Linked DNA regions of Arabidopsis thaliana. The protein of the gene in region 2 interacts with the protein of the main gene of each other region in a biochemical or structural test. Each region holds a gene or a part of one and is shown on either strand. Other genes may lie near its edges.

Region 1 (6,683 bases), on a different chromosome or scaffold from region 2:
TATGACTTTGACAAGCGATACACATTTAGCAGCACAAGACATTTCACGATCGGACTTACGGAAGTGAATGATTACACTTAATCAACCACCTCTAAATTATTGGCATCACCATCTAAGACTCTTAAGTTATGGCTTAATTATGATCACCATTATATATATTTTTTTTTTAACATTTCACAATCTTATTTTTTTATTTTTTTGGTTTATACAAGGTTCCTTTTTGGGATTTTTTTGGAAATAATCCAATAAATGAAAATGACATATATACTGTATAAGCTAACCTAGAGGAATTAACTCATATATTAATAAGCTGTATATATTAATGACATGAAAAAATGTGTATAGAAAGATGAATTATTTTTTTCTCCAACCTAGTTATAAACCGAAGAATTGATCGGTAATATAATAATAAGCTGTATATGGAAAAAGAAAAAAATTATAAATGGAAAATGTCCCTTAAGTAACTTATTTTTTCAGGTTCCATTTCAAATGGAAAAAAAAAGTGTTAGCATATTTGGCTTAGAAAGTCAAAACGTTAGATGCCATCTCACTTTAATGCTATCATGTACAATATTGAAATGGATTTTTAACTTATGAGTTAAAATGTCAAAATGTTGCAAATTACCGAGGCTAGACAACGTAGATTGTAGTACTAATTTCGTCTTTCCCAACTCCAAGAGAGAAAAACGTGGTCTGTTTCAGACAAGGCATGCTCCATTCCTCTTTTATCGGCCATTGAAACTAGGGTTCTTCTGTTAAAAATGTACTTATATTATCCCTCAAAAAGATACTAATGAATAATGTATTTTAATTACAGATTCTTGAGACGTTTCTTCGATTCCCATAATCCAATAAAAGATCAGACCCATTAAATTGTTGAGTTTTCACAGAGTCCCATGCACATGGTTACAACAAATGAAGCTTCTTAAGTTATTTTATACTCTCTTTGTTCAGAGAGCATCATCACACGAAGTCACTAAGTTTTATCTTGATTCTTGTTTTTCTCAACCCTAAGTTTTTATTTGTCTCACAAGAAAGCTCTTATCTTCTACGACTGCTAAAAGATGGTTCAGAACCTGAAATGAAGACTACAGGCTTTCTTTCATAATAATACTTAAGATTTCATCGAAAGAGTCCCATATTATGGAACCCGGTGAAGACAAATCCGATACAGCCCTAAAAATGTTACAAGAACAATAAATAGAAGAAGCTACAAACATTGAAATTGAAACTAACAGACACAAAAGATAACACATAAGAGATTATCAAAAAACAAACACAAACAAGGATTTCTCTTAAAACCCCCAAATGAACAAACCGGATTCCTCTTCGCCGGAACTTGGTGAAAAAACATGTTAGTCTTTAACCTTCTTTTCAACTTGAACCCAACTCATCTGAGCTCCCTGAAGGGCATCTGATCATCCTCAATATGTTAACAGCTTCTCCCATATGTGGTCTACTTGATGGAACCTGAGAAGTGCAAATAAGCCCTAGCTTTATCACTGCAACCGCTTCTTCTACCGGAAACTTCCCTTGCAGCCTTGGGTCAATACATTCATCTGCTCTTCCATCTTCAAGAGCTTCTCTCACCATATCACACAAAACCACAACATCATCTTCCATATACTCCACAGGCTTTTTACCTGTAACCACTTCAAGGACCAAGACTCCAAATCCATAAACATCACATTTCTCTGTTATTTTCACCGTTCTACAAGCAAACTCTGGAGCCATGTATCCCAACGCACTCTGTATCTTGCTACTCAGCACGTACCTATCTAGCATAGGTAACAGCCTCGCTAATCCGTAGTCTCCTACTTTAGGCTCACCAGAGCTGTCTAGCAACACGTTGCTCGATTTGATGTTGTAGTGGATGATGTTTGATTGGTGCAAGTAAGCTAAGCATTTCGCTGTACCAAGGATAATGTTGAACCGATCATTCCAAGAAAGCGAACTATTACCTCCTGGTGCTTCGTGCAACTGTTTGTATAAACTCCCACCAGAGAGAAACTCATAGATCAGAAGCTGGAGAGAAGTTGTCCAGTAATATCCTTCGAGTTTAACCAGATTCGAATGCCTGAGTTTTCCAAGTTTCTTCACCTCTCTTTCGAATTCGTCCTGAGACTTGACAAGACTCGAGACAGTGAGCTTCTTGATAGCTACAGGATACCCATCTCTGATAACTGTTCTGTACACCGCTCCAAATCCACCTCGACCAAGCTCACAGTCTTTGTTAAGCAGAGCATGTGTTCCAGTGCTGAAATCAGGTTCACCAGAGAACATCACCAGCTTCCCTGAGTTGCTATCAGTAGTGGGAGATCGACTGAAGTCATCTCCGCCTGAGAACGTGAGCGGTACTGCTGATCTTGAAACCGTTGATGCGCGCACTCTCAGATTAAGTACCGTGATGGCTATTACACCAACCACAATGGCTGCAGCAGCACTAATGGCTATCAAAGAAGATATACTAAGCAGTATCCTTTTGTGACCAGCACCTGGAGGCACTATTTCACCATTGTAAGGATCGAAAGTTGCATTAGGATTCAACACAATCGGTTTAGGGGAGATGGCAGGACAAGACTTATTGACAACAGCACCGCAAATTCCCGGGTTTCCTGATACTGAACTTGGGGATAAACCGTTGAAGATTCCACCTGCAGGTAGTTCCCCAAAGAGATGGTTATGAGATATGTTGAATGTGTGAAGATAGCCGAGATTAGCCAACTGTTTAGGAAGTGTTCCGGCCAGTTCATTAAATGATAAGTCGACTTCTTCGAGTCTTGTAAGTTTAGCGAGCTCTGGTGGAATTGAGCCTAGCAGCTTGTTATGTGACAGGATCCTGTAGAAAGAAGCATGAAACAGAACACAGTTAAGACATAATCTTCAATGGGAAAATCTTAACAGAATGCAACCTAAAGCAAAAGAGACTTACAAAGACCGAAGGGAACTGCAATTCTTGATGGAAGATGGAATATTTCCCTCCAACAAGTTATTTTCAAGTCTCAACTCCTCCAAAGAAACAGCTCCACCTGTTTCTCGAGGAATCATTCCATTGAGCTGATTGTGACTCACATCAAGGACGCTCAAGTGCTTTAGTTCCCCAATGGTACTGGGGATGGGGCCGGTAAGAGAGTTTCTGGACAGATGCAATCCCTCCAGGTCTCTAAGATCTCCTAGACCAGCTCCAATCTCGCCAGAGAATGCATTGTGGGAGAGATCCAAAACCTGGATCTTCTTGATACCTCCAGTAGAGTTATCATTCTTTAATGCAGACACATCACGAGAACCATCTTGAAATAGCCACATGGGAAGCTTTCCAGTTAGTGAATTCCCACTTAAATCTAAGGCCAAGAGGTTGATACAGTTGGCTGTTGAGACCGGCAAGCTACCAATAAGCCCATTCCCAGAAAAGTTGAGAACTTTCAGTGCTAGAAGGTTGCCTATGGAGTCTGGAACCTGCCCTGAAAACTTATTCATGGAAAGATCCAAAGTCTCAAGACTCCTCATTTCTCCTATCCACTTTGGAACTTCACCTTCTAACGCATTCTTTCCCAAGTTCAGAGAATAACACAAACTGAGCTGCTGAAATGTATTTGGTAAGCTTCCTGATAGAGAGTTTTCACTAAGATCAATAGTCTTCAGCAGCATACAGCTCCCAATTTCGCTAGGAATAGGACCAGATAACCGGTTTCTACTCAAATCAAGCGCACGCAAGTTGTTCAATCTATCTATCTTCTCTGGAAACTCTCCCTCTAACTCATTCCTCGACAAATCAAGTGATCTTAGAGTGTTCAAAGACCAAATCCCCAAAGGCATAGAACCAGAAAAACCATTGGAAGACAAGTTTAAAGCAGCAAGAGACGAGCACGAGCTTATACTAACCGGAATCTTCCCCGTTAGTTTGTTCTTCGCCAGAGATAAAACTCTTAATGACCCACATTGCCTGAAAAACTCATCAGGAAGCGAACCAGACAAGCCATTGCTACTCAAGTCAACAACCTTAAGGTTAACAAGGCTCAGCAGCATATTAGGGTTAATGATTCCCGTGAGATTGTTGTTGGACAGAGAGAGCTTATGAAGAAACTGAAGCTGAAGTAGGCCACGACCAATTCGACCAGACAGAGAGAAGCCATCTAGATTTAACTCAGTGACTCGATTCGTCCTCGGATGGCATTTGACTCCGTTCCAACTACAAGGAGTGTAGTCATCTTCGTTCCAAGAAGCTAGCTTTTGCTCTGGATCTCGTAAATCGGCTTTGAAGACAATGAGCCCTAAAACGTCGTCGTTTAAAGGCGGGTCTAGAGATCTCACCGGAGCTACTGCCGACACCAACAAGACTGTAAAAATCAGTGCTTTGTACATCTTTCCACAACCCTCTTCTCCGTTGAACAGATTTTAGTTGCGGAAGACCTCCATTTTCAGTTATGTAGAGCTGAAATTAGAAAGAAGAAAATTGGTGAACACAAGAGAAAAAAAAAAACAGTACATCTCAAAACAAAAACTTTGTTTGTTCGTATTCTTAGGCGTTAGATTTAGTAGAAGAAAAGAACAAAAATCTATCTCAACGGCTACATTTCGGCCAACGGAGGAAGCAAAACAAAGCAAAAAACAATGAAGAAAAATCCGGTAAAACAAAGGCTAGTTATATGAATAGAAGTAGCTACAGTTTACTTGAAATTCATAGAAATTGAAGAAATATTCAACCTTCAAGTGAATGGCTGAAGTAAATGTTGAGCAAAATAACTTGAGTTTTTTTAAGTAAAGGAGTCATTGGACAGTTACGATCTGGAAATGAGGAATTCTCACCTAGTAAGAATTTTCTCCGGGAAGATTTCCGACGAAGAATGTTGCAGCTCAGGGGGAAAAAAAACACCGTAGGAAAAGAAAGTGAGAGAGCACGAGCTTCTTCTTCTTCTTCAACTTTGTTAGGTTTTGTAGCTTTAAAAGAAGAGTGAATTTGGGAAGAAGAGAAAAAAGCCAATAAAGAAAAAAAAAGAGAGCAGAGAGAGTAATTAAAAGCTGCCTTTATCAACGGGCTGGAAAGAAGAGAGTGTGGGGCCCGAGGAAGGTGGGTGGACTCATTAAAACTCTTTAATTGACACGTGTATTTATTTTGTTGGGTTTGACGAATCCGACTTGGCTGACACGTGGCTTTTATTTTTATTTTGTGTTGGTATAGTAAGTGGGAAAATGAATAAATGATTGGCCAACTCATAAAGAAAGAAACTATAAATTTGAATATGACTAAATTATCCTTCCCAAATAATAGAAACTTTCTTTAATGGGTTTACATGCTGCTCTGTGGCCTCTTGGTATGATTCAACTAATTAGAAAATAATCTTTCACATAAAATGGAAATAATGTGGAATGTGGTTGGTTCTGTTATTCTCATGCAGAGAATTGGTATTTTGGGTAAAAAATTATGCAGAAAGAGACAGTGGTTAAAGTGGTCACCATAGTTTTGGTTTTTCATTTTTTTATTTTGATTCTCTATTTTGTTTTTTGAAGTAAGAACATTAAAGTAAGTTGGTGAGGAATGATGATGGTGTCCTGGAAAAAATATTTTGTGGTGCTTAGAGATCATTAATAATTGCAACCATAATGTTATTGTTCATTTATGTACAATGTCCTGGTCAGTAGTCAATGCATCAAACTTATTAATTATGGGTTTACAAATTTTCTTGAAAAATTATGGGGTTTTGAAATTGGATCACAAACCTAAGGATTTTGGTTGACTTGGAGGAGCTACAGATGTAAATTTTGGATCTTCTGTTTGTGCAAGGAATCATACATTATGTAAACTTTTCCTACAGATTGAAATGCGGTTGAATAACTAAGTGTCAAACACTTATTGCCATAAAATAAAACATTAAAAAAAACAGATAATAGAACAAATGATGTTGAAAAAAATATTATAATCCGTTAAGCATGCTCTTGGAATTTTTTTAATTGTTGTCTTTCTCGTTTGAGATTTGGTCCGAGTCAAGACATTTTATCAGACTTCGGTCTCTCTCCCATACCTATGTTTTAAAATTTTATATTCCTTTTGACAGTAAAAGTTATTTATTATGAAATAAACAATGAAAAATAACTCTTTTCCCCATGGAAGGAAAACAACCCTTCATGGAAATTTTGGAATTTACTATTTGTTTCTATTTGCAATTTAACAAAGAGGCCTTTTTTACTTTTTAATGTATTCTAAAAATATAGGGTCAAATTTACTACTGTTTTTAAGAGCTTTCGAGGAATTTTTTGGGCAGTGTGAGCCGGACCGTAGCGAATTCACATTTACTGTTCTTCGCTTTCCATCTATATGAAGAATTTACCCTTTGTTTGTTTTCTACAGTTAGTATTTATTTCCACATTCAATTTTTACTCGAATCTTCCTCTGTCATATCAGGATTGGCATTTAGGACCAGCCATTAAAAGGTAAAATATTTACTTTCCGGTGATGTAAAATTCCAAATTTTCTTATATTTATTTAATTATTGATTACTTACAGTTTCATTTTTTATTCCATGGTAAATAACTACGGATAAGATGGGTCCAACTCTTCCATTAGAGGCCCATTAATGAGAAACGATAAATGGGCTCAGATAATAATAAGGCTTATCAAAGTTCTACAGTCCGAATTATATTTCAGGAAAGAAAACAAATTGAACTAAAGAAATGCGACTCGCAGC
Region 2 (5,927 bases):
AGCTTCAAGAAGGCTGATGACGAGAGAGTAAGGAAGAGAATCGAAATTCTCGCCGTCGTGAGGAAGGCCATGATCAGAGCTGTTGAAAGGTAACTCTATGAGACTTATGGAGGATTCAGGTGGAAGATTGGAGCGTATTTTGGGGATGTTCGAAGGAGTATTGATCATAGAGATGGTGGTTTTGTTGGCTCTGTTCATAATCATAATCTTCTCTAAACGAAGGGCTAAAGCTACAAACGGGATGATATGGCCTTGTCCCATGAAAGGGAACATCACGATTCTCAGATTTCTGGGTTTAGCTTCCGCCATTGCCGAGGAAAAAAAAGATAGATAGAGAGAGAGATGGATAGATTTGGGGTTGTATTTTTGCCGTATCGATAACGGTTCAGATTTAGACAAGAGAAAATGTGTGTTTTTGGTCTGACAATAAAGACTTAAACAGAGTTTCAAGATTGACTACATTTATTTATCACTTTAAAAGGGAAGGGGCTATTGGTAAAATCACTTTTCGTTTCCTCTCATTCGTCAATTCTTTTTTACTTTTTCCATGAAATATTATTATTGGTGTGTGACCTTGGCCTTTTTTTGTTGCTCTCTAATTTTTTTTCCTCATTCGTCCATATTGTGAAAAACGTGATGATTTTCCACAAAGTTAGGCATGTATTCATGAATCTACTTATAAGAGTATATTCATTGCATTTGTATCAAATTTATAGTAGAAACAGCAAAATGTAAACTCTTTAATATATATATTATTATTATTTTCTATCTTGAAAAAAATAGCAACTCATTGAACTGAGCTTATATAAACGCCGAACAGTTCAAGAACTTATGTACATACCATTACCAATAGCTAGATGCAGCTGCAGCTAAAATGCGTATGGGACATCGTCCTATTACTATAGAAGAAAAGAGGTCCCCTAATATAAATTCTCTTGGGCCTGACACACAATATATGGAAGCAACAAAAAAAGTGAATGGGCCTATCTTACAATCTAATATTTGTTACGGCCCACATTTAATATTTGCGTTCTTATTAGCCTATGTACATTTTTGATTATCTAAATCACAAATGTGCTGCCGGCAAATAAATAAATAAATCACAAATGTGCATATTCAATACTTTTCCATCAATACAAAAATGTAAAAATACAAAATCTCCTTGACAAGTAGTATTTGACAATATTTAAAAACCTATAATAATTCTTAACAAAGTGTAAAAAGACCAGTAAAAAAAAGCCTAGGTAGAAGAAACACAAGAGATTAACAATAAGAAAAGTTAATTAAGAACCAATCAATTTTGATTAGACTAGAGTGAGTGTGACTCTCTTCAGTTCAGCCCAATGACTTGTACCTGCAAAGAACCTTACATCTCAAAACCCTATCTAAAACATAAAACCCAGGCATTACCATAACCTTAACCCGTGCCGGTCCACGGGACAATGCTGATCTCTGCCTATCTGCACCCATATCTTCCATAAAACTTGATTCAAACTCTCTGTTCTCCTCAACTCTCAATATCCCTAACGCTGGATTGAACGAGAAGGCAAGCAAATGAAGCAACCATACACATTTTGCAGCCACAAAGAATGCTTGAAGCATTTGTTCTGACCAAGGTCTTGTCCAATTCAATGTTGTAATGATCAAACTCATCTTCTCATCGCAGAATCTACTGAACTCATCACTGTAGTATTTTGTACCCTTTTTCAATACCTCGTTCCAGCTCAAGTTTCTCAAGGAAGCAAAGGACGAGAAGTTCGCTTGTCGATCTTGTTCCGGATCAAGCAGTTTCGGCTTACCGTTCTTCTGGAATACGCAGTTCTCAAAGTCTTGGTATACTGATTGGCTTATGATTGCTTCTAAGTGGTACTGAATGATCTTGGAGTACTTAGAAGTGAATGATAAGTTGTGAGGTTGAAGGAGAGTGTTGATGTTACCAATTAGAGTCGAGTCTTCTTCATCAATCTCTGAAACTAATGTTTTCAAGAACTGCTTTATCGATAATCTTGCTTCTGATACAATCTGCAAGAACCCTTCAACCATCACTTCTTCACTCACTGGCATCTCTGAGTTCTTTTTCCCTGAGCTTCTTCCACCACTATTCTCCTGTGACACTACTTCTGTTGCTTCTCTCAAAGCTTTCTTTAAATTGTCACAGTAACTTTCCAAGTACTGAAGCTTCTCACTTAACTCTCCCAATGAAGATTTCATCTCTGAGACTTGTGTTAACGCAGCATCCCTACTTCTGTTTGCTTCCATCAATTCTCTCTTCAACTTCTCAACACCAGAACCAGAATCCTTCAACACCTCAGAAACTTCCTCTGACTTCTCAGTTATACTAGGTGAATTAAAGATCGAATTACTCTTTTGTTTCTTCTTTAACTTAGGGAATAACCAAGACATTACTCTACCTCCACGGTTTCTTGGCTGAGAAGAAACAACAGCAGAGTGCGAATCCGTCAAGGGCACAACAAGATTAGAGCTCTTCAAGCTCTTCGTGTCGAAACCTTTTTGTTTATTGTAGTCATTGCAAGAAGAGACCGATCTAAAGTCGACCGAGCCACAGTTGCTTCTACCGGTTGTATAAAAATGTAACGGTGGAGATCTGAGAGCGTCCGACATAGTGTAAACATGATGATGAGAATCTTGATGAGGCATCATCACAGTCTTTCTTGAAGTTGAGGTTTTGTAAGAATCAGAGAGATAAGTATCTCCATCTACTAAACCAACACCATCTTCATCCCAAGTCTCAGATAAAGTGAGATTCTTGTGATGAAATGCAGACACAGGCTCATCTTCATAGCTCTGTTCCAAGACACCAACAGACAAAGTTAGCAGAGAAATGTGTGTTGTAAGTTAAAAAGCACAGTAACTTTTGTCCAAATTCAGAACAGTGGTCTGCTAAAGACAAAGTGGTTCTACCGAATTCAGGTCTTTTTCTGTTTGTCTTAATACTTTTAACACTCAACAGTGGTTAAATTATTAAAGGGACTAACCAAATTATTACTATACTATAATGTATTTTTGACATTCTTTTCGAATTAATGAACCATTTTTGAAGATCCAAAACACACAACTACATGGTACAATAAATTAAGAAACGTATTATCTAAATTGAATACTGCAATGACAATAATTAACGAGCCTGAACCGGGTTTAACCAAATAAATCTCGGGTTTGGTGAAATTATAAAAAAAAGTTTTAAAAACTCCAAAAGCGTTTGAACAAAACCCAAATTCCCATACATAATGTCGAAAAATCAATCAAGTGAGACACAAGAAAAAGAGAACAAACTCATGGAACCAAGAAGAATGATAAGTGGGAAAAGAGAAAAGAGAGAGAGAGAGAGAGAGAGAGAGAGAGAGAGAGAGAGAGAGAGAGAGAGAGAGAGAGAGAGAGAGAGAGAGTTACAGGAGTGAAAACAGGGTAATCATGAGCAGAGAGGTTAGGGAGAGGACGAGAAGCAGGTGAAGCAGCAGAAGAGGAAGAAGGGTTTCTGAGACTGTAATTGGAAGATGGGCTTGACTTCATCTGCATAAGACTCGCTTGAAGTGCTCTCAACTTCACTCCATTTGCTATGGCTTCTTCTTTTTCTCTTGCCTTGTTCATTCTTGTTTCAGAAGAAGCCATGGTAGAACAAGATAGTACAAGATTAGAACTTAGAAGAGAAGAGAAGGATGTGACACAAAAGAGAGAGAAGAGATAGTGAATGCGATTGTGCAAAAGAAAAGGGTGTGAAGAGGATGATGTCTCTGTGTGTGTGAAGAAGAGAGAGAGAGAGAGAGAGAGAGAGATAGAAAATCCAAAGAATGTTCTGTCTCCCTTCTCTTAAAAGGACTGATAGAAAGAACGCATGTGAAGGGCAGAGACCATTTTTTATGTTTACGATAATACCCTCCTTTTTTGTTTCTTTTCATTTTTTTTCTCACTTTTCTCATTTTGTTTTTTGGTTAATATGGTAACATATCAGAATTATTGAACAGTTTACAAAAGCTAATTCCAGTTTTTTTACATAATTGTTATCTTATCTACTGCTAAACACATTTCCACTGTTTTATGATGTTATTAATTGTAAATCAAAATGTTTATCTGAGACATGATTTTCTATAAGCTTTGTTGTATCTTTCGGATAAATGGGTAAGACAATTGTTGGATATAGATTACTGGATTTTTTTCCATCCAAACATCTATTATTAAAAGAAAAACAAGAGTATGTGGTTTGTTCTAGGGAATTCTATTACTAAAGAGATATGTGTTATTCATTTAAAAGCTCTAGAAAATCAAAGATTATTATACTAAGAAAATAGGAAAAACTAAAACTAGGGATAATATCTATTTATGATAAATATATACAAGTCAGCATTGATATTATTATGTAGGAACACAAAAACAAAGAGAAATGCTATCCCGTTATACATTGTAAATTTGTATATTATAAAGATTTTCAAAATCTGTATACTTCAAAGAATCATATACTGTAGTTTGTTGACAAAAGAAAAGTCATAGTCTAAAATGAATTTTATATAAATGATTAAAATGTCTTTCAATAGTAACAGTGTAACACACATGTCATTGGAAAATATAACAAGGATCAACTCAACTGTTTCAAAATCTATAGCAACCACTTAGAGACCTCAAGCAAAATTAAATGATTATGGTGTATATTCAAGTCAACATCAATTTGATAATATTAGTAGGTCATATATATCTTAGAAGAATGGGTAAATTACAAAAAGAAATAGGCCATACCTTAGTTAAAAAAAGCTAGGATGACTTTCTGACAAAATGAATTTTGTTTAGTAGAAGATAGAATTCCGTGTGGGACTGACCATGTCTTAAGAGTTGTTTTACAATAATGTTGTAAAGTCGAGTTGTTTACATCAGCAAGAGAAGAAGAAGTCAAGAAACTAAGAAAAAAGGATTACACTGTTTTATTTATTTAATGATGAGAAAATCATTGTTAAGTAATTGTGCTTAACTTTCAAAACCAAACCCACCAAACCCATATATAAAGTACAAATAGCCTAAACCTAATAAAGCGTTTTGAAAAAAAACTTCCACATGCGTTAAAGTATGTAATGCCTTATAGCCTTTTTGCCTTTTCTTGCGAATGAACCGGGCATTTGTTTTTTACTACACTTCTTTGTTACCATTTCTATAAGGTTGATCGTTTTTAAACATATTTCTTTCAACAGTCTCAAAATGTAATCAGTTGGGTTTTGACTTCTTATCCATAGTATTCTAGATTCTTATAGATGATGTTACAAGTACAAAAATTTATAAGAATTGATATAGCTACTATATTTCCAACACATAATTGGGTTGTTTCAGGTGTTAAGCACGTTTAAACCAAAATAATTTTTTAAATATACGATTACTGAAAAAGATTTGTATAATCTCTACTTAAGAATCACCTGTTTCACTTCCATTGAGATCCAGCACTAGTATAGACCTATTATACTATGGGCTTTTACATCATTGTTCTATCTACCGGGCCATACATGCTATTAAAGATCTATTGAAGCATTATAGTTTCGAGGATAGGTTTTTTCAAAACCTAGATATATAGAAACTTTTTCTTTTGGACAAAAGATAGAAACTTTATTGGTAAGTATTTATGAATGCTTATTGGTGCAAACTGACGATGGGTTAGTTTTAGTAATTCTATCAAAGTAGTTTGCATTTTGATTGGTAGTTATAGTCTTACAGAGCCCGTCTTGAGGGCAAGCAAATAAAGCATGTGTTTGCCTCTGTAGTATAAGTAAGTTCTCGGTCCATTTTTCACAAAATATCCTTTAGGTAAGATAGTGTACATAATTGTATACGTGAAAGTACTCTAGTGTTGGAATCTCACATTTACCTCATTTCTTACTTTTGTCTTTTAGTCGATTTTTTTTTTTTTTTTTTAACGTCTGAATTTTTAATTA

The links.
Region 1: the proteins of AT5G12900 (region 2) and AT3G56370 form a complex in vitro, tested with the Arabidopsis thaliana proteins (one study listed by BioGRID).

Annotation. Positions count from the first base shown.
Region 1 is NC_003074.8:20,898,029-20,904,711, forward strand, and holds AT3G56370 (Leucine-rich repeat protein kinase family protein), read right to left. Parts: upstream 5,053-6,683; 5' UTR 4,807-5,052; intron 4,433-4,806; 5' UTR 4,363-4,432; coding exon 2,933-4,362; intron 2,840-2,932; coding exon 1,375-2,839; 3' UTR 1,071-1,374; downstream 1-1,070.
Region 2 is NC_003076.8:4,070,816-4,076,742, forward strand, and holds AT5G12900 (DNA double-strand break repair RAD50 ATPase), read right to left. Parts: upstream 3,805-5,927; 5' UTR 3,631-3,804; coding exon 3,412-3,630; intron 2,806-3,411; coding exon 1,336-2,805; 3' UTR 1,081-1,335; downstream 1-1,080. Other genes in the region: AT5G12890 (UDP-Glycosyltransferase superfamily protein), read right to left, coding at 1-309.